5 linked regions of the Ovis aries genome follow. The protein of the gene in region 1 purifies or fractionates together with the protein of each later gene. This does not show direct contact. Links are inferred from orthologs where the notes say so. Each region holds a gene or a part of one and is shown in the gene's direction. Other genes may lie near its edges.

Region 1 (6,036 bases):
GGAAGGAAGGCCAGTTTGTGTCTTGGAGGGTATATGCCGTCTTGTCTTCCCTTCCCAGCCCTCTGCCTTGGCTCCCTGGCTCCCGGCCTCGAGGCCCCGAGGAGTGGTGGTGCCGCAGTGGAGGGGGGCCAGGTGTCTCTCTGCCGAGCTTTCCCGTGACTTCTCTGAGTGGCCGTGGGTTGAGGGTTGACTGGGCACACGGCATGGCCTGGTGCCCTCTCTGCACACTGCCACAGGTGTGTGGCTCTGCTTCTTCTCTTTTTGGTGCCCTTTGTTGTCATGAGGCTCAAGTTGGGTCTGGCCTGTGAGTCGCCTCGGTGCCAAGGCCAGGGCAGGAGCTGGCTTGGGGCCTGTGTGGGCCGTTGTGGTGGTAGGCCTTGGAGAGTAGGCCGGCCCAGAGGATCCAGCGCTCCTTCTCTGCTCGAGGCTGGTGGTGCAAGGGCTGCCGACGGAAGGCTGGTTCTGCTGGTGATGCTGAGTCTGGCCACAGATGCTGTCTAGGGGCAGGTGGCAGCTGTCGGGTGTGTGCAGGACCGCGTGGGCAGACAGACTGGGCATTCTGCAGCTGAACCAGAGTGGCCTCTGACCGTTCTGGATGATCTGACCAAGGCTCGGCCCGCCGTCTTCTTGCACCCTTCTCACTGCGTCTTCACCCTGGCTGAAGCCGACACGGGAGGGCCGGGAGGGGGAGACTCAGTGGAGGAGGGAGTCAGGCCTGCGACTCTCCACATGGCCCGGCCCCTTAGCGGCAGAGGCTGGGCGTCTTTCTGAGCATTTGCGGCGCCTTTCTTTTAGATAATGTCCGAGTTTTCTTTACATACCTGTAGCTGTTTTTACTTTTCTGTTTTTGAAGTCAGTTTGTGTCTTGACGTGTCCCTTGCAATATCCCTATCGTTATATATGCTGTGTGCCTTATGAAATGCTGGGATCTGGAAAATCCAATCAACCAACCCACCGGCTCCTCACCGTCTCCACCTCTGCCTTTGACTGACACCTCAATCTGTCAATCGGAACCGCCTACCATGCGATTGGTCGGATGGCGTTTCGGGGGGCGGTGCATGCAGAGAAGCCAACAGAGCAGTAAGCGCAGCAGCCGGAGTGTGGAAGATGACAAGGAGGGCCACCTGGTGTGCCGGATCGGCGATTGGCTCCAAGAGCGATGTACAGCCACCTTTCGTAAAACTTTACCTCTCTACTTTCTATCCCCCTTGTTAGACGAGACCTCTCCTGCCCGAGGGGCCGCTATTGCGCGTGGTGCCTTAGAGGGGCCACCAGTAATTGCCTGAATGACACAGACTCTAGCAACTTCTGTTTTTAAGAGTGTAGCAGTGAGAAAGAAACCTTTTATGTTTTTGAGAATTTGAATGCTGTGAACTTGCAGGAGCTGCCAGCCCTCCGTCCTCCAGGCTCTCATGCCCTGTTTCTTTTCTCTCCTAGATGAGATCGTGGGGAACCTGGGTGAAGGCACCTTTGGCAAGGTGGTGGAGTGCTTGGACCATGCCAGGTGAGCTCTCTTCCTGGGAAGAGCTGGCCCGAGGTTCTTGAAGGTGGTGGCAGAGCTTAACCTTTTTCTCTCTGAAGAGTAGCACCAAACTCCTGTGCATGTTGGGTTTTTGCTGATCCCCTAAAATAGGGAGAAATTCCTGGGATTCCTGGGCGTGTGGCATCTCTGCCTAAGAACTGTTGGTCACTGAATGGTGCTGTTCCAGTTTCCCCACTTCCTCAGGGCTGTGGTGATCAGAACAGGGCAAAACCCTGGCCCCTCCATGGTCTGGATCTGCTTCCTATGAGCTCTTTTTAGGGGCCTGGCAGGGGTTTGGGCATACTGCTGAGTCCAACTCAAGCATGAGCCTCCACCGTCTGGAGGTCTGCCTGAGAGGTCATGCAGGCCCCCATTGAGAGGAGCAAGACCCTGGGCTTTCTCACCAAGTGGGCTGCTGCTTTCTGCAGCGTGGCTAGAGTGTGCTCGGGTAGAGCAGGGGTACACCTGTGTGAGTTGGGATCCTGCTGGGGGTCCCTTGCCCCCTTATAGACTGAAGAGTGAAAAATTTTTTTGTCCCTTGCCATTCCTTGAGACCAGAACCCTTGCCTCCTCTCCCTTAGGCTGGGAGGCTGCCGCCTGCGAACCCACTGCCTTTGAGCCTTAAATGGCCTCTCTTTGGTGTGGCACTTTGGCCAGAAAGTGCTTGTGTCCTTGCTGTCTCATTTGAGCCACGTGTTGCCTGTACGTGACTCTTGTATGATTTTAGGGATGAAGAAATATGCTCAGGGTCCGCCTGTATCCCCCAGCTCTCGAATGGAGGAGCCTGGGTACTGCTGTACTTGGCGCTTCCATGTTGAGGGGTGCCTGGAAAGGACAGTTAAACCTAGCAATTCAGCCCGCCATGTGACCCCAATTTAAGGTGGTGATTATTACCAACGAAGCCTCCCTGGGCACCCAGTTCCCATTTAAACACCCTTCAGACCCCTTGTGGCCCAAGAAGTTAGGGACATGTAGAGTATACAGTGGTAGAGGTGGCAGATCTGAGAGCTGTGCCGCCTGGGGCTCTCTGTGCTGTCACTCTGAGCAGCCAGATGGGAAGCGAGTCTTTGAAGTCACTAAAGGGCAGGCCCAGAGTTCAGGGAACCTTTAGCGAGTCCAGAGGGAGTTGGCCAGTGGGCTTGTTGTGAGAAGGCAGAATTCAGTTCCACATAAGGAAGGGCCGCCCAACTCTGGCAGTAGCTGTGTGGAAGTGATGAGCTCGTCTCAAGGGTCGGAATGCTATTAAGGGATGCTGTTCCAGGAGTCTGGAGTTACGGCTTTTCCTCTGAGGTCCTTTCCTACCCTGAAAATCTGGAAAAATGGGATGAGAAAAATGCACGGTGTTCTAGAAAATGCCTCTGCCCTTCGACCTGTGAACCTTTCTGGCACCAAGGCCAGCTTCCCAGAGGCCTTAGGCCACACCCTTGTGGGCCAGGGCTTATCACTCTGGTTTCCCACTGGGCATATGAGCACTGGCTCTCCCTTCCTGAGAGTGTTGCGCCTGGTAGCCTAACCGCCCCAGTCATTCTCTGCTGGGCACCTGCTCGTGGCATACAGGGGTAGTTCTGGGGGTAAGGTGGGAGGTGTGGAGCAGGAGTTATTAAAATCCTCATTGGACACTAAATAAGGGTTCCTGGCACTCAGGGTCTCTGACAAATGCCATGGCTGGTATTGAGGCAGGTGGGGCCAAGAGGTTCACTGAGGGATCGGTCCTGGGGTTCAGTGAGGGGAAGAGCCTCTGCTGGCACCTTTCCCTCCTGCCAGGCTCTCACTCCCTCCTGGAAGCCCAGGAGGAGCAGTTTGTGTAGAGTTGGTGATGTGTTCAGGAAAGTCAGCAGGTGCAGCAGAGGGTTCTGAGTGGGTGGCCTAGCCAGGGTCAGGACTGACTGGACTCCAGGTCAGGTAACTGAGCAAGCTCTAGGGCTGGTGCTGGTCAGCAGGATAGGGCTCTGCTCCTCTGCCCACTCCACCCAGGGGCTGGCAGCAGCTGAGATCATAAAAACCTAAGACTGGCACGGTTGTCAACAGCAGCTTCGTATTGCACAGGTAGAGGTCTGGAGTTGTGTGGGGCAGGCTGGGCATCAAGAGTCTGCTGTCTTCAGGGCAGCCTTGTTCCTGGAGTCCTAAGTAGCATTTGCCAGGAGTCGCTGGGTTGGGGTGGAGGGTGGGGGAAGGGCTGCATACCTTTTCATGAGGACTGCTGCTTCCTTCCCCGGTCCAGAGGGAAGTCTCAGGTTGCCCTGAAGATCATCCGCAACGTAGGCAAGTACCGGGAGGCCGCCCGGCTAGAAATCAACGTTCTCAAGAAGATCAAGGAGAAGGACAAAGAGAACAAGTTGTGAGTGTCGGCAGGAAATGGGTGGGAAGCTTCCTAGGGGTCAGTGTGTGTCCGGTCCAGTGGCCCAGACCCACTGGGACTGAGCAGTGTCTTTTGCCGGGTTGGCACCATGCCTTCTCCCAACAGCCAGAGCAAGGGGAGTCCGGTGAGTGAGTCTTGCTGGAAGGAACATCTGGGTTTCAGTCTAAGCTCCACTGCAACCAGCTCTCTGTTCTGAGGTGGCCTCCTTGCCCTGCATTTGTGAATTAGAGGCTTCACTGGGTTGTGGTGGGCATTAGACAAGATATAAACCCAAAACTGTTCAGGGTGCTCATGTAGTCAGAGATATCCGAAGGAGCACACAGACACGGAGCGTTCCCCTCCGCTAAGCACTGTGCTGAGCCCTGCAGACTCAGGAAGCTCGGCAGAGGGCACTTGTCCTGTGGAGTGGCCTGGTTATGCCATCTCTCTCTGAGAGCAGGGACTGTGCCCATAGTTTTCTCTTTGTGAATCTGCATCCTGTCTGTGACCCAGCATCCTGGGAGGGAGTGGGGACTGTCTTCACCTGAGGAAGCAGGTGGGCAGCCAGCCCCCAGCACAGACCCTGAGCCCCATCCGTCCTTCTCCAGCCTGTGCGTCTTGATGTCTGACTGGTTCAACTTCCACGGTCACATGTGCATCGCCTTTGAGCTCCTGGGCAAGAACACCTTTGAGTTCCTAAAGGAGAATAACTTCCAGCCTTACCCTCTACCACATGTCCGGCACATGGCCTACCAGCTCTGCCACGCCCTTAGATGTAAGTTCCCACCTCAAGTGGAGCAGGGGGAGCCTCCTGTCTGCAGCAGAGGCACCTGGTGGCCCTGCCCTCCCATCAGGTGCTCCAACACATTGCTGACTGTTCTGCTGGGCCCGAGACACTAGGGCCCCTTTGGTTGAAAGGCCTCCAAGTAGGAATCTGTGACGACGGAGAGGCTGCAGTCCCCTCCAGGGGCCTGCGGAGCTGGCCTCTGACCCCAGGCTCTCCGGAAGAGAAGGGAGAGAGCTGCTCTAGGATTAGCCCCGTACCATCCCCATGCCTACCTTCCTGCATAAGATGAAGAGGTCGCAGACTGACCTGGTAGATCCCACCCACAGATCCTGTCACACAGACACCATGTCTCACCATCATTTCCCGTCTGTCCGCCAGTCTCTTAAGGTGGTACCTGTGCTCAGTGCTGCAGGATTTGTAGTGGTTGAAACAGGTTGGAAAGGCTCACTGGAGAGAAGGTGGCTAGACCTAGAGCTAGACTAGCAGGGTCTGCATAGATGGCGGGACTGGGGAGAGCGTTCCAAGCCAGGTGAGCCACCCAGCGCTGGCACAGAGCCTGGCATGTGCTGCAGCTCACTGTGGTGAAGAGAGGGCCCATGTAAAGAGAGACGGGCTACACTGTCGGGGGGGTCGAGTGCCAGATGGAAAAAGTGATGAATGGCAGGGTACAACCATCGGTGGGACAGGGTTGGAGGGAAAAGGCAGACGTCCCCCTGCTCGGGGATGAGGGGAGAAAGGCAGGACTGGCTTCATTGTTTCATAGGGAGCCCTGTGCTTGGTTTAATGCTCTCCTACTACTATCTTTAGATTCTAAGTAACTTTTGAATAAGGAGACCTACATTTTCATTTTGCCTTGGGCCTTGCAAATTATGTAGCAGGTGCTTGGGAGAGGGAACCACCCCAAGACTGATCCTGCAGCTTTGGTGAGAGACCTGGTCCCCTGCAGACAGATGGAAGGAGGTTTTCTAAATGGAAGGCATCTCCCCTGCCCCCTCAAGAATTAGAACCCTCTGAGTTCATAAGTACAGAGAACCCTTGAGAGGGAAGCCCTGGCAGAGGCAGTGTGCCACTGCTGGGGTTAGGGGCTGAGGGCTCCAGCAGGCTGGCTCTGGAGGAGGGAGCTGGCCTAGCGCTGGCAGGCGGGCCAGAGAGGAAGCCCAGGTTTTCAGTGTCTGCTTCCCTCCTCTCCTGCTCCCCCAGTTCTACATGAGAACCAACTGACCCACACAGACTTGAAGCCAGAGAACATCCTATTTGTGAATTCTGAGTTTGAAACCCTCTACAATGAGCACAAGGTATTTATTGGTGGGGTAAAGATTGAGGCCCTGTTCTAGGAGTCGGTTACCTACCAGTGCAGACTTCTGACCTGGCTCCCCTTCCCTGCCCTTC
Region 2 (6,036 bases), on another chromosome or scaffold:
ATTGGAAAAGGCTTCCCATATACTGCTTTTACCCTCTCCCTAGTCAGAGGGGAAAATATATTAGGGAGTTAAATCATGGTGCTCCTTTTCCCAAGAGGTATTTCCCTTTAAAATTGCCATTTCATAATTAGTATTATTAAAATATCAGCTACTCCCTTAGTTGACCAGATCATATCTAGTACATAAGCACGGTTGTCACTTCCAGAAACTTCTAAAACTTTGAGATGACATCTATCCAATTTCATCAACAAAAGTCTGTACCCTAAACCCTTTCTGAAATATAGACCTCATATGTGAATACTTTTTATGTCAACTGAGAAGGATTTTTGTCTTCCCTTTCTTGATCTGAATCTCATCACAGTCTTTTTCTTATCTGTGCTTTTACCTTTGTTCTCTGTGTATGTTGTGATATTTAGCAAGTCTGAATCCCATGGCATTTATTTACAAGCATTTGTTTTAAAATCATTTCTGTTTTAGGCATTGTGCGTCCCCACCTTTCAGCTCTTAGAACAGCAGAATGGACTCCAGAATCACCCTGACACAGTGGATGACCTATTCAGGCTAGCCACGAGGTCAGTCCTTCTGAAAAGCAACCTTTTATTTTATCAGTCATCCTCATCATTGCTTGGTCTTGTCACCTAACACTTACCTGTTTCCTTCTCTGTAAAATGAGGTAAGAGAAGTAGGTAGAGTAATTATTCATAATCCAAAGTTAAATCGTGAACCAGAGTATTGCCATAAATGAAGAAGAGTTGGATAAGCACAAGGGGAAATAACTGAGCTCCTTTCATAAAGGAGGGAACACACCCAAGACAATAAAAATGAGTTTTGCAAGAACATTTGACTAGACAGTCTCTAGAATCCTGTGTGGTTTTAATGTTTTATGCTATTGTGATATCATGCTTGACTTTAACTTTTTCTTGAGAAGTGTAGCATCCTTAAAATATAATCTTATCTCAGAATAAAAATTTTTTAGACTTTTAAGGTACTTTAAAAATTATCTGATACTGTACTTCCCATCTCTGCTCTTAGCCTACCACCCTATTTGTTGCTTAAATTCCTTTTACTAGTAACACTGACATTTGTATTCATTCTTAGTCCCTAGCTCAGGAATTTGATCCAAATCAGTTGGTAATGAACACTTTTTTTGATTCATTTTTGGACAAGTTAGAAAACCCTTTTTATTTATTTATTTATTTATTGAGTTGGTATGAGAAAACTGTTGGGTGGGCCGTCAACCTGTTTTCCTTGTGTGTTTCTTGAAAAATTAATCTCAAGAGATTCTCTTTGCACAAATCATTGCCTGGTAAAATAAATTTGGAATGTTATTTTACTTTTTCTTGGAGATTTTCTATGAACATTAGAGAATCTGAGAAAATTGTATAGAGTTCCCATATACCCTTAGCTTCCCCCCTCCTTCCTTCACAGCCTACCTTGCTATCAGCATCCCCCACCAGAGTGGCCCATTTATTAAAATTAATGAACTTCCATTGACACATCATTTTTAAAGTACTTACTTTACATTAGGATTCTGTCTTGGTGGTGGTCTTCCTGTTGTTTAGTCGCTAAGCCATGTCTGACTCTTTGCGACCCCATGGACCATAGCCCACCAGGCTCCTCTGTCCATGGGATTTTCCAGGCAAGAATACTGGAGTGGGTTGCCATTCCCTTCTCCAGGGGTCTTTCCAACCCAGGGGTCTTTCCAACCCAGGGGTCAAATCTGTGTCTCCTACATTGCAGGCCAGTTCTCTACCATTGAGCCACCAGGGAAGCCAAGGTCTTTCTATGGGTTTGAACAAATGTATGACATATATCCACCATTGCAGCATCATAGAGAATAGTTTTAGTACTGTCAGTATCCCCTATGTTTTACCTATTCATGTTCCTACCCTCCACTCTGTCAATCCCTAACAACCATTGATCTTTTTACTGTCTCCATAGTTTTGCCTTTTACCCTGGTTACATTTTTATAGCCTAATTTTGTAATTTTTACCTTGCCTATCTTTACATACCAGGTTTATTCAGCGTAGCCCTGTTACCTTGCTGAGAAGCCAAGTTGTCATCCCGATCTTACAGTGGGCCATTGCCTCTACTACCCTGGACCACCGGGATGCCAATTGTAGTGTCATGAGGTTCCTACGAGACCTCATCCATACAGGGGTAGCCAATGATGTAAGTATAAACAAGGTATTAAATAGTTTTTCTACTTGTAGCTCATTATCACCTCATATATCATTCCTTATGGAAAAAGAAATATCTCATTTGATCTGTGTTGGTAGGTATATTCCATAGTGGATTATTCACTAACCAAAATATCAACTAGTAGATTTAAGACAACCTATACTACATGTTGTAAGCTGTATCAACTAGTCTAAACTGTCTCTGCTTCCAAGCCATTTGGTGTCTAATTGAAGAGAGAAATAGAGTTGTAAAGAACTAAACAACAGCAGCAAGGCAATATTTGATTGTCAGATAAGTGATAAAAGTTGTGATTGCTTTGAGATCAGAGGAGGGAAAACTCTTTGGAAAGAAGTAGGTTGGGATGACTTTCTGGACTAGGAGGGACCACAGTGGAGCCGTTTGGATGGATTGGAGGAAAATCTAAATGGGTATATAAATCATAATCAGAAAGGACTAAGTTTGTTAGTAGATACTTCAGAGACCTTTTTGGCTGGAGGTAAAGTGGTTCACAGAATTTTCAAACGTAGATTTGACTAGATGTGGAGTAGAGTTGAAAGTAAGGGAGAACAGTGAAGAAGTATGTGATAGACTAATTGAAGAGTTTTGACAGTAAAAAAAGAGAGGGAATGAAGGTAAATAGCTAGAAGTGAAAGGCACTTTAAAAGGTTTTTTTTTTCCAACGTATTAGAAATATGTATATTCAAAGACTAAAAGGAAGAAAATAAGTAAGATCTTTTTTTTAATTTATTATTTTTGTGGCCACCCACAGCATGTGGGATCTTAGTTCCTTGACCAAGGATCAAACCCAACCCCCAGCAATGAAAGTGCAGGATCTTAACCCTGGATCCCCAGGGAAGTTCCTAAGTAAGATTTTTTTTGATAGAGAAGGTTAGATATTTGATAGAAGTCTTCTTTTTTCAGTTGCTTTTTAAAAAAGGAAATAGGAATAGTTTATCTTTTACCAGAATAAAAGGTTAAAAGGATCGCTACTCTTAATCTCTAACCATTGTTTCTCCTCTGTGTTCTATTCTTGAAAAACCTAAGGGTTAAGGTTAATCTCAACTGAAGCCCTTACCCGTTTCCTTGAAACTAAACTCTTAATGTTTTCTTCCTTGTGACAGACAGTGCACCTTGTGAGTCCAGCTATTATATGTACTTTCTTCTCTGAGAAAGAAAATTACTAAAGGGGAAAGAGTACTTGCCCTTCAGAAAGTTGAAATTAGCACTTTCCTGTTGTTCCTGTTTTCTTACAGCATGAAGAAGACTTTGAATTACGGAAAGAACTAATTGGACAGGTGATGAACCAGCTTGGACAGCAGCTTGTAAGCCAGCTGCTTCACACATGCTGCTTCTGCCTCCCCCCGTATACCCTACCGGATGTGGCCGAAGTGCTCTGGGAGATCATGCAGGTTGACAGACCGGTAAGATTGTTTGCATAAGGAACCCACTTTCAGTCTTGGACAGTTTCTTGAGAGGCTGACTCTAACTTTGAAACTAGTCCTATTGTATGCTCTTGGTGGTATGTCTTACATTGCTATGTTTAATTGTTAAATGAAGGAGCCAGTAGAAGGATTCTAGAGAATATGTCTGTGTCACTGTAAGAATCTAATACAGTAGTATTTTTGTTTTTCTAAAAAATACTCTTTGAGCCATTGCAGAGTGACAAGTTTATTCCAAACATCATTGATAATAGAAATAAAATTTCTGTACTCTTACTTTTTAATAGATATACTTGGTTTCCAGGTAACAAAAACCTTATTATATACATCTAACTTTACAAAAAACGTTGGATTTGTAAGCCTTTATTATCTCTTATCTTTCTGATCATGACCTTTCTAACAGGCCTTAAGATGATATGTCTTTATAGTTTTAATTTGCATTCCCATTATGATTGGTGACACTGAGCATTTTTTATGTATCTGTTGGCCTTTCATGTATCTTCTTTCAAGAAACGTTTGTTGAGGTCCTTTGCCCATTTTTTAACTGGGTTATTTGTTTTCTTGCTAGACTTCTGTGGGTTGGTTCTCTATGTATTTTAGATACTAACCTCTTTACCAGGTATACGGCTTACAAATACATGTTTTTTCCCTTTCCTTAGGTTTTCTTTTTACTTTGTTGATGGTTTCTGTGCGGAAGCTTTTAAGTTTGATGTAGTTTCCTCTGTTTATTTTGCTGCTTGTGCTTTAGGTGTCGTTGCCAAAAAATCATTACCAAGACCTATGTCACAGTACTTTAGGCCTTTGTATTCTTCAAGGAGTTTGATGATTTCAGGTCTGTGTTTAGTCTTTAACCTGTTTTGAGCTACTTTTTGTGAGTGGTGAAAGGTAAGAGTCTAGTTTCTTTGTTTTACATGCAAATATTCAACTATCCCAGCACTGTTTATTGAGAAGGCTGTCTTTCCTACACTGGATATTCTCATCTCCTTTGTCCTATATTAGTTGACAGTATACAATTTAGTTTCTTACTGTTTTTATTTTCAGGGGATACTATGGTTAACTTATGGGTCATTTTGGATGCCAAAATGTTGTCAGTTAAGAGTTCGTTCTCCCTGTTTGCCTCTTCTTGTTTCTGTCTGAGTGGTGTGTTGTCTTCCTTGGAGGTAACACTTGGAGAATTCGGTGGTGCTTCCAAGCATTTCTAGTGGAATGTTACTTTTGGTCTAGTCTGTGGTGATCATGTGCTTAGTCACTCAGTCTGTGTCCGACTTTTTGCGACCCCATGGACTGTAGTCCACAGGTGCCTGTGTCCATGGGATTCTCCAGGCAAGAATACTGGAGTGGGTTGCCATTTCCTTCTCCAGGGGGTCTTCCTGACCCAAGAGCTCGAACCTACATCTCTTGTGTCTCCTGCTTTGGCAGGCAGATTCTTTTCCACTGTGTTCCCTTGGAAATCCCATTGTGATCATAAATTAACATAGTGGAAAAATACATAATGTAAAAAATGTAGGTATAAAAAAGTTCTTTTCAGCTAAAAACTATGAACAAAGCATACATCCTACTTAAAGACATGAAGAAAAATTAGAGCCAAAAAAGAAAACAAAAAGAGCAACAAAAAAGAATTTTCTTAACCTAAAGACTAGGCAGTTATCACAAAGGAACTGACTGGATGTGACTTCTACTGAGAGAAATGACCTTAAAATCCTTAAGATTCTGGATTCATATTTGTATATACACTTTTTAAAATGTTTACTTGTTATACTTTTTGACCCTGCTCTTTCTAGTACCTGAACTTTTGCTTTGGGTTGCCCTTGATCTCCAAGCTCAAGAGATTTTTGGCAGCAGTCTGATTTTTAAAATATTGCATGTTTAATGATAGAAACAGAATAATAACTTCATCCAGAAGAGACTTTACTTCCAAGGTAGAAGGGCTCCACCTGAAATGATGTCTGCTGCCCCCTTGAAGGGAGCCTGGGCATGCCTTTATAGGCTGTTCCAACCCTCAGTAGGTTGGAAGGCCAAAAATAGTACTTCTGTTAACTCCTTTATTTACTTCCAAGTCTGGAACGCTAATGCTACTAAGGAAAACTTGTGGGTTTTTGTTATTACCTGTAGGGTCTCAATTGAGTAAGCCCTGCCTCCCTTTAAAATGCTTATCCTTCTTCTCTGTACAGACTTTTTGTCGATGGTTAGAGAATTCTTTGAAAGGTTTGCCAAAGGAGACAACAGGGGGAGCCGTCACAGTGACACACAAACAACTTACAGATTTCCACAAACAAGTCACTAGGTGAGTGATAAACAGCAGCTGGCCTATGTAGGAAGAATGTCTTTGTTTCTTACATCATCTTAGTTACAAATACACCCAGTAATATTTTTGTGTGTATACCTTTATAAATTAAAATTTTATGTCTTCTTAATG
Region 3 (6,518 bases), on another chromosome or scaffold:
CACAGGATACTGGCACCAGAGAGCTGAGGTGCATTATCAGTGAGCCCAGACTCTTGCATCTTCCTGTACATAGCAAAGTGTTAAGTTCTTTAACTTGAGATATCTGCTTTTCTTTAATTAATAGTAATCTTTTGATATCCTGACTACCTGGTCTTTATTGCAAAAACTTCTATAGATCCTGGCTCCTCCCCTCCTCTCCTCTTCAGAGAAGTTCCTCAGAGTGACCTGAGAGTAGTATCTCCCAGGCTTGAAATCCTCAGAATATCTGCTGAGTAAAACATGCTGTGCTTAGTTGCTCAATTGTGTCCAACTGTTTGTGACCATAGACCATAATAGACCATGGACAGTAGCCCGCCAGGTTCCTCTGTCCATTGGTATTCTCCAGGCAAGAATACTCGAGTGGGTTGTCATGCCCTCCTCCAGGGCATCTTCCCAACCCCGGGATCAAACCCACGTCTCCCGCATTGCAGGCAGATTCTTTACCCTCTGAGCCACCAGGGAAGCCAGAATGAAGCATTAACTCTTAACTTTTAGGTTGTGCTTTTTTTTCCCCCCTCCCAGCCTACAGATGGTATAGTGTCTCACTAGGAGAAGGCCAACTCTGTGATCAGAATGTTGCTGTCTACCAAAACTTCCCATTTTCAGCATATCTCCCTCCTTTGCTATCACATGAAGCCTCAGTGGTTCAGCATTTTCAGAGAAGAACCCTCCAGTTGTTACCTGGGTGGGAAAGGGATTTACAGTCTAACTGCTCCCTGAACTGCTTTGTAACCAGTCCTCTTGTGTTCAACCCCATTTATACCCTCACCTTCAGTGGTACCTGGCAATTCCAATTCTTGAGCTTCTCTGCTACACCTTAGCCTCAAGTAAGTTTGTTTCCTGGCTTCCCTACTCCAGGACTTTGTTTTCTCCATTTTGCTTAAGCCATTTCCATTTATCTATTCTCTCCAGCTTCCAAATGTTGTTGACATCACTTGTTTGCTATGTCCCTTCTTCAGATCTGTTTGTTCATGGGAGTTTATTCCCTTCTCATCCTTTTAACTGTCATTTCAGTGGGGCTGGCAGAGGGAGAAGAGGTAAATGTGTCTTGTGACTGCATGGAATTCATTCTACCCTATTTACCCTGAAGGGTCTTCTTAATGTTTCAATTATGTGTGTTCTGCCTCTCCTTAAATAGGGAGCTCTTTTCACTGCTTAGCACTGTATTCTGCTTGGACTGGGGGTAAAGTGAGGCAGAGGGTAACAACAAGGGAATAGAAGATATACACATTCTCAAAACATTTGACTCTCTAAGGGTAGGGTAAGAGCCATTTATCCAACGTGTGATTTCTGTCAACTACTTTTCAAGGTGGCACTAGTGGTAAAGACCCGGCCTGCCAATGCAAGAGAAGTTAGAGATGTGGGTTCTATCCTGGGTCGAAGATCCCCTGCAGGAGGGTACTGGCAACCCAGTCCTGTATTCCTGCCTGGAGAATCTCATGGGCATAGCAGCTTGACAGGCTACAGTCCACAGGGTTGCACAGAGCTGCACAAAACTAAAGCGACTTCGCACATCACACTCTTCTTTTAAAAGTCCTGCCACCTCTCCTGTTTTATGTATTTTGGCTAAGGGGGCTGGAGGGCTAGGTGTGGTGCTCAGGAAGGTCAAAGGATGGAAAAATCTGATTCATAAACCGTACAAAGTCAGTGCTAAGCAGGGGCAGTAGAGATTACCGAATTCAATTTCCTAATTTTTAAAGTAAATTTATTCATTTTAATTGGAGGCTAATTACAATATTGTAGTGGTTTTGCCATACACTGCCATGAATCAGCCACGGGTATACATGCATTCCCCATCCTAACCCCCCTCCCACCTTCCTCCCCATCCCATCTCTCTGGGTCATCCCAGTGCATCAGCCCCAAGCACCCTAATTTCCTTATTTTTAAAAAGGAAACTGAAGTCCAGAGAGCTGTAGTTTATTTGGATCAACTGTGGTCTCTTGAGAAATACTCTCAAGCGATCGCTTGAAAATGCCACGTTATTAGCAGTCTTTGGCCCTTTGGGTCTAAAGGTTCTCTCGGTCCCAAAGCAGCATGCCCCTTGCTGCTTCTTGGATCAAAGGTCGTTTCGGAGGTCATTGCTCTCATCACCCTGTTTGTGTTTTTTTTTCCCCTAGTACTAGTTAATTTTTAAAATTATGTAATTATTTTATTATTTATCTCATTTTCCCCACTGGAATGTAGGCCTTGTGAGAGAAGGGATATTTGCTGTCTCGTCCGACGACTAATCTTCAAGGTAAACCAGGATTCTAAACTAATAAGTCTGGCTCCAAAATCTGCGCTTTCGACCACTACATTATGTTGTTATTTGGTGAAGAAAGCAGAGGGTCGGCTTCTGTGTATTCAGGCAAACGAGCGGACAAAAAGAGATAACCCACTAACACAAGCGAGCTGAAGGAAAACATCCGGATCCAGGCGCTCAGCGTCCCCTCATGACCTTTCTCTCCGGAAGCGCTTGCGGCCCTCTAGCGCGAGTACGCACGCGCGGCGCCGGGGTCGCTTTGGGTCGCGCGCGAAGCCGAGACGCGAGGGAAGGTTCCGCCTCCAGGATAGAAAGGCGCCTGCGCCGTCGGGGCTCTGGTCGGGATACGCATTCTCGCTTCCTCCCTCCCTCGCCTGCGCGCGCGGGTGGGCGTGGGAGGAGGCGGGGAGCACAGAAGGAGAGCGAGGGGGCGGGTGTCGCGGGAGGGAAGGAGCGAACCGGAGAGTGTCGTCCTGAGAGGAGTGAAGGCGGCAAAATGGCGGACCGCTTCTCCCGCTTCAACGAGGACCGAGACTTTCAGGTAAACACGGGCGTCGCCGAGGTCCGGGGAAGGCGCTGGCCGAACCAGAACCTCCTCATCCCCCACTCCCAGTTTTCTTTCGCTCGGGGCTCTGCTGTGGCTTCCGAACCTGGTCCCTTTTCTCCCGCCTCCGATTCCTCTAGGGGCCTCCGGGTTTGAGGCGAGGCCGCATCTTCTCTCACTCTGTATCTTACGGACCGCTGGGTTTGCGGCCTCGTCCTGCTTGGTCTGCGGGTTTGGGAGCCCCAGCCTGGCCGCTGGGTGGGGTGGCTGTGCTGCCCTCGGGTGTGCCCAGCGTGTGCGGGCGCTGGGCTGGCTCCCAGGGGAAAGCGGGGGGTGGGGTGGGGTGGGAGGTTTTGGTTCGAGTGTTGCTGAGACTGGGGCTCCTAAACCCCTGGATTTTGCTCGCACATCTCTTCATGGGATCCTTCTCCCTCTTTGCTCACTGTAACAAATCGCTTTCATTGTCTATTTTTCCATTTCCTCACCCGGAAAAGGGGGGCTTTAGTTATCAGACGCCTCCATGGTAGTCAAACATTGAGATTTCCCTGAGCGTAAATGTTGCTGTTGTCATTACGTCGTTAAATGGGCTTGGAAAACAGTAAGTTACAGGAGGATGGTCGATGTAAGCTTAACCCCAAATGCTACCTTGAGAGATTTGTAAAAAGCATCACGATAATGGACTTTACAAGCAGGTGGTGACTGCTACCAACAGCTTGATTTTTCTTTTTTCAGTTGCAAACGTTGTATGGAAAAATGCCCTTGCCGAGGCTAGCATGATTGAGGAAAAAATTAAGGCCAAATTAGAACAACACGTCTTTCGGCTGTTTCGAGTACCTTCCTGTTGAGCATTGTTACCGCAGAAATCTCAGCGACTAGAAGGGATTTAGTAGAGATGGGCTATTTCTAGGGTAAATGACGTCCTTAGTCTCAAAGAAACCCCTGCATTACTACCGCAGACCCTGGCAACAGCAGTTTGGTTCAAGGGATGAACGTCCGAACTCAAGTTATTATCCCGCTGCAGCTCTTTCTCAAAGTTACATGGGAATACTCTAGATAGGTTTAGGAAGGTAGTTGAAGAGTTTGAATTCTGCTGGATGTTTGGGTTGGTAACTAAACAGGTAAAGCAGTGAAGGCAACAATGTAACAATCTAGTACCTAGACCTCTGAAGAGAAGTTTCGCAACAGTAGACGATCCTAAGGCTGTTGAAAAGCCTTGTGATCATGCGCCTGCTGAATAGCTGCAGCACAGTACAGGATCTCAAGGTGTTTAAAGATGGAATGCAGGTCCTGGGAATTTTAAAGCAGTTCTTATTAGCTTTTTTTTTTTTTTTTTTCTTTTTTCTTACTAGCTATTTGATCCTTGGGAAAGGTGAGATTTTTTGTTTTTTTTTTTTTAGGGAGCACCATAAAATAAGAGTAGGCTGCAAGATGTGGGGGTTTTATTGGTAGTTTTTAAGGAGACATGTTAATAATTAAAATCTTCTAGTGCTTTTCAGAGAGAATTTGAAGGTCACTTAAAATTGAAAATAGATAATACGGACAAATAAGTATTGTGGGAAAATGTTAACCACAGGATTTCAGCAGTGTTGAACAGGCAGGATTTTCAGGACCTTAAAAGATTTGAAAACTGGAGAACAGAAAATGAATGCAGTCACCTGAATAAATTTAGGAAAGCTTCTCCTTTTTCAAGTTAAATGACTTTCTCTTCTCATGCTTTAGTTGTGTATATACGATATGCTTTTGGTTGCTTGGTAGGCCTTTGAAGATATTACATATATTTTACCTACTGCTTCTATATTGGTATAGCCAATTTCTGTTGTATTGTGTCAGCGAGGTAAATGTTGGTTTTTAAGATTCAGATGTCCCAGCATTATGGGTAAATAGGATATTAGTAATGAAAACCTATTAGACAATTACAGGATGTTAGAACTTCTGTAAATTATTGTGCTAACATTTTTTAAAATCATTTTAAAATATTTTAAGTACTATTTTTTCTGAGTGTTTCAATAAAGGGGAAAATGTAGTTGAATTTTCATTAATGATGTCATTTGATTTAAAGTTATTGGAGAGAAAATGCCCTAGGAACCTCCTGCATATAGCATATCTGAAACATTGTTCAAGGTCAGGTTATTCAAAGTTAACTTGGCCTTTTAAGGCTTTAAGTGATAAATGAGGTGAAGCTACTGAGTGCACTTGAAAACAAATCCAAAGTAGGTTTCCAGATACAGTACATAGATCCTGTTTCTTTAAACAGATCTCTAGCAGTGGAAATTTTTCTGTGCACCTTCTCTGGTAAGTTCTAGATGACTATCATTTTCTCGCCTTTAATTTGGCAAGGGAATTTAGAATTGTAGAATTTCACTCTTTACCAATTTACCATTAGGTGCAAATTTTGGGGAGTTTAAGGATTGTCTCTTGAATTTAGTATAAGTCAGAGGAGGCTTCACTATTAGATTTTGTGAACACTTAAAAGTTTCAAATGTGTTTTATATAATATAGAGAAGAGCCTAATTGGCATATTACTTGAAGCGCTTATGAATATAAAGAGTAATCATTAATATCAGGGAAATGTTTGAAAACATTTGATAACTTCATTTTAATAATAAACAGGTACTGTTCTGTGGACTTTACATGTGTTGTCTCCTAATCTTCCAATAACTCTATGAGGTGCGTAGTGTTACTCTTACTTTCAAATGAGGAAGCTCAGGTACAGATAGTTAAATAACTTGACCAAGTATCCGCAGCTGGTAATGGCAGAACCAGGATTTAGACTCCTGCTTTTTGACTTTTGAACCTGTACTCATGACCAATAACTTTACTGGCAATTGTATATTTTATATAACTGTAACTGAGTCATCAAATATGGAGGATAAACTTATAGGTCACAAAGAATAAATGAGCTTTCAGAGAGGTGATACAATTACAGTTTCTACTCTGTTGCATTTTGTCCATATCTGTTTCTTGTTGGTCTCCCAAGGGCTTCTAGGAAGGCTTCTGACAGTGATGTTACCCTTTGTCATAGAGGATATATTGTTAACTCTTGTCTTAGTTCTGACATTATTTAAAAATACCCCCTTTAAGTGGTGTTTTATCTTTTGGAAATCTTTGTGGTTTGGGCTGATGTATTTATTTTTTAAATGCTTTAAGAGTTTTAACTACTTCTTTAAGAATCTGACCTCAATTTCTGAATGAGACGTGACTTCTGCCTACATTTACCAGATTAAGGCATATTTGTTCACAGATTGAAATGTTACAGAAACTAGTGGAAAATAGCATGGTATAATTTACAAATGTAGATACATTTTTTTTAATAGTTTCTTTTTTTTTAATTTTTTTATTTTTTTTTAATTTTTTTTTAAATTTTTTATTTTTTTATTTTATAAATTTTAATATCTTTAATTCTTACATGCGTTCCCAAACAAATGTAGATACATTTTCAACACTTTGAATTCCAAGTTCACTAAAGAAAGCATTTTTTGCACTGTGATGTACAGCAATGAGGTATATTTACACACTGCTTAGCATTTAGTGGTTGCGCAGCTATTAATGATGATGCAGCTGAATGTTAGTGAGGAAATGTTCTTCAGCTTGTGTGCTTGCAGAGGACTGGTGATTTCAAGTAGTTTCTCATTTCCTCTCGTTCTGAATGCATTCTGCTTGAGATTTCTAATGAAAAGGAGCTACAGTAATAGA
Region 4 (6,594 bases), on another chromosome or scaffold:
AGAGAGGGTGGGGCCAGCCCGGCTGCCATCGGAACTGACTGTTCCCCCACAGACTCTGGCCCAGGAAAAAAAAAAAAAAGCCTGCAGCTGTATCTACAGGGCCTGTTGTTGTTTGCTGCGGTGTGTTACAACACAGCCTGGCAGCCTCCCGTGTCTCTCTCTTCCTCCGCCTGGTCCCAGGCCATGTGACATGGCCACACGGCACAGCAGATTTGACCACACGGTTCCTGCTGTTCCCTCAGTTAGTAGGCTCTTCCAGGTCTGCATTCTTCTTGCTCATGCTATCCTCCCTCTCTTCCCACCCTCCCCTCCCCCACTCCGAGTTTCCTTTCTTCCTCTTCCACATCCATCAGTCTGGCAAACACCATCTCTTCATACTCTTTTAGGACTCAGATCTAGTGTCACGTCTTCAGTGAGGCCTTCCCTGACTCCCTCCCCAGGAAGAGCCGATTGCCCTGCTCCTGGGAGTCCTCCACTGGTCTATGCATAGCCACTTCCTATGCAGGTATCTTGTCACAATCTCTGAAACATGAGGCCCACGGACATGCAATGTGGATGGCACTGTCTCTTAGGTCTGGGACAATGTCCTCTCACCTCAGTATACCGTGCGCGTAGCACAGTGCTTAACTCCAGGCTGTTAAAAAGCATGTGGGTGTATGCTAAGTCGCTTCAGTTGTGTCTCAGAGAACTTATGGACTGTGGCCTGCCAGGCTCCTCTGTCCATGGGGATTCTCCAGGCAAGAATACTGGAATGGGTTGCCATGCCCTCCTCCAGGGGATCTTCCCAACCCAGGGACTGAACCCGTGACTCTTGACGGTCGGGCCTTGGCAGGTGGGTTCTCTACCACTAGCACGCCACCTGAGAAGCCCCATTAAAATCACAGTAGATGCTTAAACGATTGGCATTAGTATGCAGAATTAATGCACAAATAAACTGTTTCAGTGACACTCTTTGGCATCTGGTAAAAAGGTAAGCTTCTAGGCCCTGAAGCAGGGCCTTTGCCCTCACTGAGGAGGTTTCAGCGTCAGCTCTAGTGGTTGTTTCTGCAGGTGGCACCTCTTGAAGGCAGGGATGGTTATTTGCAGAAGAAACTCTTCATAAATACCTAAATGACCCTAGGTGATATAGTGTTGAGGCCAGATGTGGAGTTAGGAGATGTTAGGTTTCAATAGGTGATTATTAAGCTCCACAGTTGTGGGACTTCAGGTTCCTGTTTCCTCAAGAATGAGATTGAGCGAGCCACTCCCTAAGGCCCAGGAGCTGCTAGCTCAGTCCCCTTCATCCCAATCTTGGTTTGGCCATTACACTCCAGGGGCCCTGAGCCCCCTCCTGAAGTCCAGCTGCTCAGCAGACCTACCCGTTGGCAGGCGGCAGAGAACACAGACATCTTTTAAGAAAACACAGAAATCCTCTGCTGTCTCAGTCACCTGGGATCTCATGTTTGAAAGGTAGAAGACGGAGGGAAAGCCTAGTCTTAACAGTCCCTGAGTGTCCAGAGGCAAGTGCTACGTGCTATGGTTTCTCCAGATGGGATTTTTTCCCCCCAGTTCCAAATGGACAATACCAGTTCCCCTGGTATTGTTTCCCGGGGCTAACCTAGCTTGCTTACCTGACGCAAACAAGCCTGGCCTGCCCCTCTCCTTCCGCGAATCAGGTCGGGTGGGCGGACAGGAGGGCAGAACTGTCAGAGAGAGGTCCCAATGTGAAGTCCACTAGCTTGCTTGGGCATTAGTTTCCCCGGAGGTAAGGGATGGAGTGAGGGGGCGTCGTTCAGTTTCCTCCCTCTCTTCCCTACAGCGCCCACAAAGGGGCAAGGGCCAGACACGTGGGCTGGCGTGGGGGAGGCGGAGGTTACACCAAGGCGGAGGTGCAAATGGCCGGGGGCGGGGCCTTATTTGCATGGACGGCGTTCGGCCGCCAATCGGGATAGGAGGAGCGACAGCCCGCGCGTCTTTTGGGGCGGACTGACAGCCCCGGGGCCCTATGGGAGGCGGGTCCTGCGGCCCGCGGGGGCGGGACTGCGCCGGGCGCTGCCCGGGGGGACTCTGGCCGCTTCGCGGGCGCTGCCAGTCTCCGGCGGCGGCGTCCGGCGCGCTGGCGGCCTGCTGGGCGGGCTGAGGGGCTGGCGGCGCGCGGCTGAGGCAGAGCGACAGAACGGGCGAGCCGCCACGGCGACAGGTACCGGCGCCATGGCCACGGGGGGGATGAGGCGGGGTGGCCGCCCGGCCCCGGGAGCCGCGTTCCCTCCTTCGCGGTCCTGCCGCCGCTGTGCCGCTTCCTCACGCGGCGCCCCAGCCCGGGAACCGCGCTGCGGGGCGGGCGGCGCCGAGACGCCTCGGAGCGGGCGCGCTGGAGGCGCCCAGGCTCCCCCGCGGGAATCCTCTGCGCCCCGCCGGGCGAGCGGGGCCGGGGCTCCCTTCGCCTCCGGGAGGCGCGGAGCCGGGCGGCCGCGGGAGCGGCTCCCCGCCCCTGCCGCGCTCTCCCTTGGGAAGACGAGGCCGGTCGCGCCCCGCTGGTCCTCACTCGGCTTTTTTTTTTTTTTTTGGTTTCCCGCCCTGGGTAACAGGTCCCGGCTCCGGCTCCTGTCTCGGCGGCCCCCGACTCGCCCGCGGCCCGGCGCCCGAGAGCCAGGCGGCCCGTGAGCCGCGGCCGCCGCGAGCGGGAGAGAAACTTCGGTCTCCCGGGCCCGGGCGGCGGGAGAAGTGGGCCGGCGGTGAGCCGTGCGCCGGGACGCATCGCGGCCGCGATGGAGCCTCGCTCACCTGGCGGGCCCGCCGAGGGGAGGGATAACGGAGCGTCCCGCCGCAGCCGCGGTCCCCGGCTTTCGGTCTGCGCTCCCGGGGCGGTGGGTGTGGATATACGCGTTCCCCGTCTTTCACCTGCCGCCCCGGGAGGGGGACCAGTGACTGGGAACACGGCCTCCCCGCCCTCGACTGCCGGTAAGAGGGGACCGGGGCAGCGCCGTTCCAACAGGTGATTATCCCAAGTGCCAGGTGAGAGCCACTGAAAAGTTGTTTCAGGGTTCGGTAATTCAGTTCTCCGGGGGCTTTGTAACGCCTTCTCCCATAATGATTTTTTTTTTTTTAAGGTGTGCTGACCGCAGTATAGGAGTCAAAAACTAGTATTGCTTGGGGTGCGGGGTGGGTGGGGAAGGTGGGGAGTGTCGCCAGCGGGTAGATTGCCTTCTTTCCATTGACTTGGCCGGGAGGAACATCTTAGTTTAAAAATCGGTTTCTGCAGTGGTGGTGAAAGCATGCATAGTAAGGTACAAGTTGTAAATGGAGAATGCAGAGCTCGAGATATCCTTCGCTGTGGTTCAGGACAGAGTGTACAACGTTTGGCCGCCATTCAGTAAATTCTGCATGAAGCAGTTTGAGCTCGTGGTTTTGGATTTACTTTACAAGAGTGGAATACGGCTTAGCTTTGAATGGGAGCTTTCTTTGCCTCTCTGAGGGCACACAGGAGTGTTTATTTTCATTGTCTTCTCGTTTTGTTAGATTATAGACGAGGGAAAAGTTGAGGCATATTTTGGTTCAGTATTTTTAATAGTCTATGGGAATTCTCCTTCACCCATTCCCCCCTCCCCCCGCCCCGCATAAGAGTATTTATTTTAAAATTCGAGGGTAGAGTTGAACAACTTTTTATTCTTGTGGAAGTTTTTATGTTATACTTCCACTTATTTTCTGTTTCTCTCTCTCTCCCGGCTGACCTCACTTAAAATCTACAGTTATGGCCCTGACCAATTTTAGAAAAAATTTAAAAATAATATATAATTATTCTAAAATATATTATGAAGGTTTAGATAACTCAGATTTTTCTTCTTATGTGTCTTTTTTTAAAATGTCTGTGCTGGATATGATTTGAATAAGAGATGTAAGGAACTTCTTAAGGACAGTTACACTTTTGATTTAATTATGTTACTTTATTAGTGCTTCATTGAATGGTTATTAGTCACATGTTAATTAGTAACACCTTTGAAAGGTGCACTCTAACCGATAGGCTAGTTGTGACTGTTCGGGATTTTTTTTTTTAATCAAAGATAGTTTTCATAAAAATTGTTTTGTTTTCTTGAAAACAACAGGCTTATCTGCTGTGAGTTCTTTGTCTTTCAAACATGACCATTTTAAAATATTGGATTAGGAACTAGTGAAGTCTTCAATTTTGTTTATTCTTGCATTGGAAAAAGAACATATTTCGGTTGTTTTGTTTCCTAAAGTCTTAGCTTAGAACAATCAGTCTAGAGAAGGAAGAACATTCTCTTTCTATAGTTGTAGAAGAAATTATTACTGTTGAAAGCTGAGTTGGCTTTTCGATGCTTAGTGAAGGTAGATTGAACAGTGACTTGTTCAGAGTGAGTTTTATTCTGTATAAGTAGTTCTGAGGAATCTTATGAGACTAGGGTTATGGGTGGTCTATATAATTGTTTTAAGTGTATAGGAGTATATTAGTCTAACTATTGTGTATAATTAGAAGTTTTATAGTTTTTATCTTGTGATGCTTAAATGTATCACATACCATAAATTAAAGCTATATTTCATAGTTTAATTTACAAAAGCATGTTTTGGGAACTTTAACTGTAAAAGTGCCTTTTAATTAAAATACTGTTTTCAAATTCAATTTTTACATGTTTCAATTACTGATTTCTGTCCACTTTTAACTTGTGGTAGACCGTATCGTAAAATGGTCAACCACATTATAGCTTCAAAATTAAATATAAGTTGAATTCTTACATCTACGTAATAAATGTTGGGAGTATTTTTAAGTCACTTACCCTCAGGTGTGGCTCCTTTTGAATTTGGGGGTGGGCAAATATTTTTGATTAAACAAAGCTACAGAAAAACAGGGACACATGTGAAACAAGCTACGTTTGAGGCTAAATCACACGATACTGTTAGATAGTAATACTTGTTTATTTAACAGTAAAATGCGTGCTGTATCTGTTATTAAGAATATTTTCTGTAGGCCTTTAATATTTTTCACAATTCCTAACAAAGAATCTATATTGTACATATTTTGGCATACTGAATTCTGTACTTATTTTATGCTGAACAATTAAATTATTTATACTTTTTATAATTCTGAAACTATTTGAACTTTCTAACCTAGCTGATTAGTAATCAGATTTTGTTTTTCATTATTTTATATTCTGAAATTTTTTTAATGCATTTTTAACTTCTGACATTATGCCAGGAAAATTAAAAGTTTAAGGAAAATTAAATTTACAGTCATTCAAGACTAGATGGAAGTTGGTAGGTAAATCATATAACTATTGATTTAAAAACAGTAGCCACTTAAGTGGGTTTTTTTTTTTTTTTTGGTGCAAAAAGATGCTTATTTATTGTGTAAAAGATAGTTCTGCCAAATGAAACAGGTTAAAGTAATTTATAGCAGGACCTTGTGGACGTAACTAAGTTCCTAAGGATATTTCAGTAGTATTTGAAACACTAAAATTCAAGCACTCAAATTATTTGTACCTCATTTTTGTCATGATGAGACTTGACCTGCATTCAGCTGAAACTCAAACATGTAAGGCTTTAATCCTTAAATGGGGCAAGTTGGTTTTATGCTTATTTTAGTGTTCTAGCCTTTTGGAAAACAGCTAGTTAATAAGAGTGAAGGACCACCAGAGGGAGTATGGGGTCTACACATTTGATTTAATCTATTTTCTACTCTTGGTCTGGAAGAGAAACATTTAAAAAAAATAGGAATAAAATTTTAGCTCTCTAAAACAGGCAAAAAGATATTGAAAGTTGGGAATTGTAGCTCTTTGGAACTGCTGTCATTTTTGTAACACTTAATCAAGTTTGTGTTTTTCTTTTTAGAAAAACGTACAGTTACTAGAAAAATAAAAAATATGTATTTTCAGAGTGAAATAATGGGTTTTTAAGTAAACAGTTCCACATCTGTGGAAGTTATGGAACATCTGAATGCTAAGAATATTTTTTAAGATTAAAAATACAGTCCATTTGAGTTGTATGGTCTTGAAATTGCTCATTTTTTGGAAGGAGAAATAAAAGATGGAGAAAGATCAAAGACTAGAAGAGGGGTTTTTTCCCTTTTGTAGTTTGCAAACCTTTGCTAAAGCAGGCGATGGTAAATTTTTGGAACCATTTGTAATGTTCAGTTTGTAGTCTTGGCAGTTTATGTGTGATGTTAAATGAAGAACCACTCCTAGTCCCCTGAAAATGATCATCTGTTTATCAAAAACAGGGTTGGGGATTTCAAATTGATCTCATCAAAAATCAGATTTATGTGTATGTTTCTCAATGTTCCTGTCTCTGGAAATTAAAGATCCTTCTAGCTGCTGAAAATTACACACGGAATTTGAAGGTCAGAATGTCTCTGTCACAGACAGTACTTCAGTAGGTTGCTTTTTGGAATGGAGGTCTTTTTATGAATAAGGATGGAATGGTCTTTACTCATGTTAAATATTAGCCAATGGAATTATTTCCATGTTTAACTTTTAAAAAAGCAAGACAATAAAATAAAATCTTGTAACCTTAACATATTTTGGATTTTACCCTCTAGCATAAAAAGATTACTTCATGATGGATGGTCATATTTAATGTTCTGCAATTCTAGTTTGGAAAGGT
Region 5 (6,036 bases), on another chromosome or scaffold:
GATGAGGTTTCTCGGCAGCAAGAACTAATAGAAAAACAGCGAAGAGAAGAAGAACTGAAAGAACTGAAGGAATACAGAATATCCTTTGTACTTTGCTAGGAATCTGTAAGGTGTCAGTTTCTCATCAGCATCTATGCATTTCAGTTTTTTCATTATAGAATGAGGGTCTTCTGCCTGGTCATCTTTAGTTCCCTTTCAACTGTGATGTTCCTGTGATGCTGAATAACTGTCAGCGATACGTAGAGTTATGTTGCGTGCAAGAGTCTGTTGGCAATCAAAAGTCCAGATCCTTCAGGATTAACTAAAGGCCTAAATCCTAATGGTCAGTACCACAGTATTCTTGCCTTGTGAGATTAGGCTCTGAAACAGATGGGCGATGCAATAAACCTCATCCAGGGGAGAAACTGGCTTCTAGGTTTTTTAAAGGAAATTTTTAGCAACCCTCCTGTGTCCTCAGACCTTCCCTACAGATACAGCCTGGTCTGTCTCCACAGAGAGGTAGGGAAAGCAGCCAAGAGGACTTTGCTTTGGCTCACTGTTATCTTTCTGGCATCCACGTGCATGTCTTAACTAGGCATCCCAAATGTAACTTGGCTCAATCAAAATTCTCAGTTCCACGCCTCACTACTCCTTCCTTCACTACATTACCTCCCTCCAAATCTCTTCTTTTTCTGGTATCTGCCAAACTACCTCCAAAATGTACTCCAAATCTTCCAGCTCTTGCTGTCTCTGTTGCCACTGCAGTCGTCCTAGACCTTCTCTGGACTACGTGACCATCTAATTGTCTCTGCTTCTGTTCTCCCTCCCAGTCCATTCTCTAGACGATAGTCTGGGGAACTTTTGAAAACATGTGGGATCATATAACTTTCCTGTTTCAAACACTAGTGGCTTCCTGTTGCATTTAGACTTAAAATCTGCATTCTTAATCAGGCCCTACAAGGGTCTGCATGATTTAGGCCAACTCACCTCCCTGTTGTATCTTGAACTACTCTTGTTCTTGTTTACCACACTCCAGCTTACTGCCCGTCTTTATGTTCTTCTCATACTGAGCTCTGTGATTCCATTTCAAGGCATTTGTATTTGCTATTTCCTCAGCCTGGAATGCTCTGCCCTCAGATTTTACAGGGCTTGCATTTCATGACACTTGGGTCTCAGCTCCCTTCCTCAGAGATCTTCCCTAAGCACTCCATCTAAAGTTGCAGCCACCCCCATCACTGACTATCATGTCATTTTTAAAAATAGTATGTCACTACCTGAAAATCTTAATTTATATACTTACAGGTTTGTTTGCCTCTTTAGTGCTGGAATATAAAGTAAGCACCATAAGAACAAAGACTTGATCACCACTGATTTCTCCAGTGCTTGGTATATAGTAGGTTCTTAGTATATGTGTGAAGAAATTAATGAATGACTCATAGAAGAGGTTAAAAAGGCCACCTTAGCGACTTCCTCCTGTGAGAAAGCTTATTTGAGTATTTCAAGCTTATATGTTGAATAACCTCACTAGTGTGGTAACAGCCTTTTTTACCTCTAAAATTGTTGCTATGACTGTGTATGCACTGCTGCTGCTGCTGCTAAGTCGCTTCAGTCGTGTCCGACTCTGTGCGACGCCGTAGATGGCAGCCCACCAGGCTCCCCCATCCCTAGGCAAGAACACCGGAGTGGATTGCCATTTCCTTCTCCAATGCATGAAAGTGAAAAGTGAAAGTGAAGTTGCTCAGTCGTATCTGACTCTTAGCGACCCCATGGACTGCAGCCTACCAGACAAGAGTACTGGAGTGGGGTGCCATTGCCTTCTCCAGTGTGTATGCACTAGTTGGTATTTTTTTTTTTGCAGTGTGTGTGCAGTGGGTCCCATTAAAGAGTTATGTAGGAGAAAATGTGAACAGATTGCCAGGAATTTGGTTAAAGACAAGGTGACTGACGGTGGTTGAGATAAGGTAGCAACATGCTGCCACAAAACGTGCTCTGAACAGGTAGTGAAAGACATGGCTTCCAGTCTCTGTTTTCCAAGTGGAATTCTGGTATAACACTAAGATAGAACTTGATAGAAAAATGTTATGATAGAAAAATCACACCTCCATCCCAACTGTAGAATTGAGGTTGATTCTTCTGAAGCTTCCCTCCCCAACTCTATTGTGTCATGACCCCAGGATGGTATTATGCATTGATGTTTGCAGAGATGGGCAGGTATATGTACTGCGTTGTTTCAGGCATCCAGCTTTTACCTCTAAGGAAAAAATACATTTTCACTTGAATTACATCTTGTTTTTGCTTAATTTGGCAGGCAAGCAAATAAGACAGTGTCTCCCAAGGCCACATGCTGGAGAGTATTGGTGGTGTGGTATGAGTATGAGAGGCCCTTGGGTTTTCAGTTCAAAGGGAAGGATGAACAGGGCAGCCGTGAGGCAAAAGAAACTTTTCTGTCCTGATAACATTGCAGTACAACACTGAGGAGGCTCCAGGGTAATTAGTGGCTTTTATTGGAGACTTGGAAAGTTCTGTCTAGAAAAACTGAAACAAAGCCTTCCAACCCACTGATGTATAATGTGCTAATCCCAAGCATGCATGTAGCCAGAGACATGTTGAGGTAGGAATTGAGGTTTAGACATCTGTTTATTAAAGCTCTAAATCAGGAGATGGTTCTTGGTTTTGCTTGGTTGGTATAAGATATATTTCATAATGTGATACTTGTGAATACAAGTAAGCTGCAGTTTGTGCCAGTATAAACAGAACTTTTGTTTTCTTTAGGTTAGAACAGTATTTATTAATATGTGTGTTCAAATACGATGTGACCTTTTAAAAACTGCTTCGTGTAGTCTATTCCTTGAGACTTTGAAATGTATTTGTATATTTAAAACATTTTAGGGGGAGAGGGTCTTAAGGGGGAAAAAGGACTTGGGCCTTGGATGTGGATCAAAAATATTAACACCTCCCTACCTGCCCACCAAAAAAGAGGTTGAGAGCTTTTCTTCACTTAAGAAGAATAAAAAGTTAAATGTTGGTTTTTGTCTTTGTCTTGGTATTATAAATGTGTGATTTTGTTAAATTTTTTCTGTTGTACTTGAAAGTTTCTATCCTTTATGGTGGAGTTGTAGGTAAAAATCACAGCATGCGCATGGATTTTGATATTCTGTACTAAAAAGATGAAATTTCTATTTCATTTTTATTCTTAAAAAAAAATGAACATTTAGTATTAACATATCAGTTTCCATGATTACCTTAAAAACATCAAATATAAATGAAACTCAGAATAATGCTGAGTATAAAGTATAATCCCTATTGAATATTACAAATGTTTAAGATAACTGGTTCCCACAAGAATTGAGCCCCTGAAAATTAGACACTAGAATTAGAAATTAAAATTTCCTAATTTCTGGTACCCAGTTTTTCCATTGTTCAAACATACAGGAATAGCTTAGACCGTGTAGTCCCACCTCCACTCCTCTGGGCTGATAATACATACGTCTTGGATATCTTGAGCACTAGATGTCGCTGTTGTTCCAGCAAGGCACCACCTCATCTCAAGTAAGGAATTGCACCATGTTCCAGTACTTATTTATTGACTAATACGTTGTGAGAGAGCATGAAAGGGAAGGAGAGGAGGCAGTTGGTGAAGAGAACAAAAGAAATCGACAAACCTTGGGAGCCATAGATTGACATCAAACTTGAAAACAGTATGTAACAAATGAACTGGTGGTTTTATGCTTTTAAACAGCTTTTCAGTCCTTGTGTTGTATTGTCTATGCACAGGGGTTTCTCATTAAAATCACCCTCAGAGTGTTTAATACAGGTTCCTGGGCCTTTGGAAGTCCTCATTCAGTAAGTAGGTTTGGGACAGGGGAGGGACCCTGTTTTTTAAATGAGCCTTAAGATGATTCTGATGTCTTACATCCACAGAATAGGAGTTAGTCTTCATAATATCTAAAGCTGAATGCTACTAATAGTCATAGGACACTCTGCAAAATTTTATTTTATCCTTAGAGGGAAATCAAATAATTTTTCTGCATTCAGGGGAGCTACACTTTTTTCTGTTGGATTCTTCAGGATCTTCGTTTTCCCCAACAAGTATGATATTGGCCATGTTTTTGGTAATAGCACGTGTTCTGGTCATCCTCAGGATTTTCTTTGGGAATCAAAGGGAGAAACATTGCTTCTCTGTATTATTTTGGGCTTGCTTTGCCATCTTCCTCCTCAGTTCAGTTCAGTCGCTCAGTCGTGTCCGACTCTTTGCGACCCCATGAATCGCAGCACACCAGGCCTCCCTGTCCATTACCATCTCCTGGAGTTCACTCAGACTCATGTCCATCGAGTCCGTGATGCCATCCAGCCATCTCATCCTCTGTCGTCCCCTTCTCCTCCTGCCCCCAATCTCTCCCAGCATCAGAGTCTTTTCCAGTGAGTCAACTCTTTGCATGAGGTGTCCAAAGATCTTCCTCCTAGTCATCTTCATTTCTCTTTAAATCAGCTGGATTTGACTGGCAGAATAAAGGTGGGGGGCTTTTTTTTTTTCCTTTGGCAGTGCTTCTTGGCATGTGGAATCTTAGTTCCCCAACCAGGGATTGAATCTATCCCCCTGCAGTGGAAACATGGAGTCCTAAACACTGGACTGAAAGAAAAGTCTGGGGAGGGCATTTTTTAAATAAGTAGGCCAAACATTCCATGGCAGAGCTGAAGTGCTCGTCTTGATTTATCACTGTCTTGCTATAGCTCTTCTTTTTACTTAGTTTGATCCTTAACCTGTAACTCACAGTAATCTCAACAAGGTTGGAATTTCTTCAGAAAACAAGAAGGAAGTGGAGAAGAAAGCTGTGAAACCCATAGAAACCAAGAACAAGTTCTCCCAGGCAAAGCTGTTGGCAGGAGCTGTGAAGCATAAGAGGTCAGCCTGCATTCACACGACTTTAATCTCCCTCTGACTGTGTGCCCCAAGATGCCAGAGTAATGGTAGTCAGAACAGAGTTACCTAAGCACAGGGCTTGGTGAAGTTCCTTGTGGCCCTCCCTTGCTCCCCTGTCAGATTTGGTGTTTTCTGACACCTTTGACCTTGGTGTCTCTGTTCATTCAACATAATAACCACTCTTCATTAGACACTTAAGTACTTTCGGTGCTGGTGATATTTTATTCCTCTATGAAGTACAGAGACTGAGAATCTCAGAGGTTGAGAACCTTTGTCCAAAGTCAAAAAGTAACAGGAGAGGTGGAATTCAACATTTGAGCATCTGTGTTTCTAGGCAAACAAGGTAGCAAGTTCTGTGGAAGGATTTATGTAGGGTGTAATGAGAGCAGGGAGGATAGCATATTAAAAAGCAGAGACATTACTTTGCCAACAAAGGTCCATCTAGTCAAGACTGGTTTTTCCAGTGGTCATGTATGGATGTGAGAGTTGGACTGTGAAGAAAACTGAGCACCAAAGAATTGATGCTTTTGAATTTGGTGTTGGAGAAGACTCTTGAGAGTCCCTTGGACTGCAAGGAGGTCCAACCAGTCCATCCTAAAGGAGATCAGTCCTGGGTGTTCATTGGAAGGACTGATGCTAAAGCTGAAACTCCAATACTTTGGCCACCTCATGCGAACACTTGACTCATTGGAAAAGACTCTGATGCTGGGAGGGATTGGGGGCAGAAAGAGAAGGGGACGACAGAGGATGGGATGGCTGGATGGCATCACCAACTCGATGGACCTGAATTTGAGTGAACTCTGGGAGTTGGTGATGGACAGGGAGGAGGCCTGGCATGCTGCGATTCACGGGGTCGCAGAGTCGGACATGACTGAGCGACTGAAATGAACTGAATGAGAGCAGGGAGGAGAAATAACTGCCTGGAGTGGGTATATGTGACTTGTGTTGGGGAAGTTAAGGAAGGCATTAGAAAGGCAACTGATTATAGGACTGTGAGGGCTTTAATAGGCAGACAAGGAGAGCGGAACATCCCAGGCTGGGAGAAGAGCTGGGTCAAAGGCCCTGAGGTCCGTAAGAAGGTGGCAGCTGGGACAGGGTTACACACCTGGCTGGAACTCTGCTTGTTTGATGTGGGG

What was found.
Region 2: the proteins of CLK3 (region 1) and TNPO3 purify together in Homo sapiens (affinity purification with mass spectrometry; 4 studies listed by BioGRID and IntAct, counting the BioPlex papers as one, with this or other methods). This does not show direct contact. The link is inferred for Ovis aries from reciprocal best matches to the Homo sapiens genes CLK3 and TNPO3.
Region 3: the proteins of CLK3 (region 1) and GPATCH8 purify together in Homo sapiens (affinity purification with mass spectrometry; 3 studies listed by BioGRID and IntAct, counting the BioPlex papers as one, with this or other methods). This does not show direct contact. The link is inferred for Ovis aries from reciprocal best matches to the Homo sapiens genes CLK3 and GPATCH8.
Region 4: the proteins of CLK3 (region 1) and FKBP5 purify together in Homo sapiens (affinity purification with mass spectrometry; 3 studies listed by BioGRID and IntAct, counting the BioPlex papers as one, with this or other methods). This does not show direct contact. The link is inferred for Ovis aries from reciprocal best matches to the Homo sapiens genes CLK3 and FKBP5.
Region 5: the proteins of CLK3 (region 1) and PSME3IP1 purify together in Homo sapiens (affinity purification with mass spectrometry; 3 studies listed by BioGRID and IntAct, counting the BioPlex papers as one, with this or other methods). This does not show direct contact. The link is inferred for Ovis aries from reciprocal best matches to the Homo sapiens genes CLK3 and PSME3IP1.

The regions. Positions count from the first base shown.
Region 1 is NC_056071.1:31,715,038-31,721,073, reverse strand, and holds part of CLK3 (dual specificity protein kinase CLK3), read left to right. Parts: intron 1-1,064; coding exon 1,065-1,161; intron 1,162-1,437; coding exon 1,438-1,504; intron 1,505-3,743; coding exon 3,744-3,860; intron 3,861-4,468; coding exon 4,469-4,635; intron 4,636-5,847; coding exon 5,848-5,942; intron 5,943-6,036. UniProt on the Homo sapiens protein: Dual specificity kinase acting on both serine/threonine and tyrosine-containing substrates. Phosphorylates serine- and arginine-rich (SR) proteins of the spliceosomal complex.
Region 2 is NC_056057.1:94,617,969-94,624,004, reverse strand, and holds part of TNPO3 (transportin-3), read left to right. Parts: intron 1-477; coding exon 478-572; intron 573-2,015; coding exon 2,016-2,172; intron 2,173-3,434; coding exon 3,435-3,602; intron 3,603-5,791; coding exon 5,792-5,904; intron 5,905-6,036. UniProt on the Homo sapiens protein: Importin, which transports target proteins into the nucleus. Specifically mediates the nuclear import of splicing factor serine/arginine (SR) proteins, such as RBM4, SFRS1 and SFRS2, by recognizing phosphorylated SR domains.
Region 3 is NC_056064.1:44,017,882-44,024,399, reverse strand, and holds the start of GPATCH8 (G patch domain-containing protein 8), read left to right. Parts: upstream 1-2,741; 5' UTR 2,742-2,777; coding exon 2,778-2,822; intron 2,823-6,518.
Region 4 is NC_056073.1:9,817,252-9,823,845, reverse strand, and holds the start of FKBP5 (peptidyl-prolyl cis-trans isomerase FKBP5), read left to right. Parts: upstream 1-2,069; 5' UTR 2,070-2,179; intron 2,180-6,594. UniProt on the Homo sapiens protein: Immunophilin protein with PPIase and co-chaperone activities. Component of unligated steroid receptors heterocomplexes through interaction with heat-shock protein 90 (HSP90).
Region 5 is NC_056067.1:24,774,733-24,780,768, reverse strand, and holds part of PSME3IP1 (PSME3-interacting protein), read left to right. Parts: coding exon 1-79; intron 80-4,752; coding exon 4,753-4,882; intron 4,883-6,036. UniProt on the Homo sapiens protein: Promotes the association of the proteasome activator complex subunit PSME3 with the 20S proteasome and regulates its activity.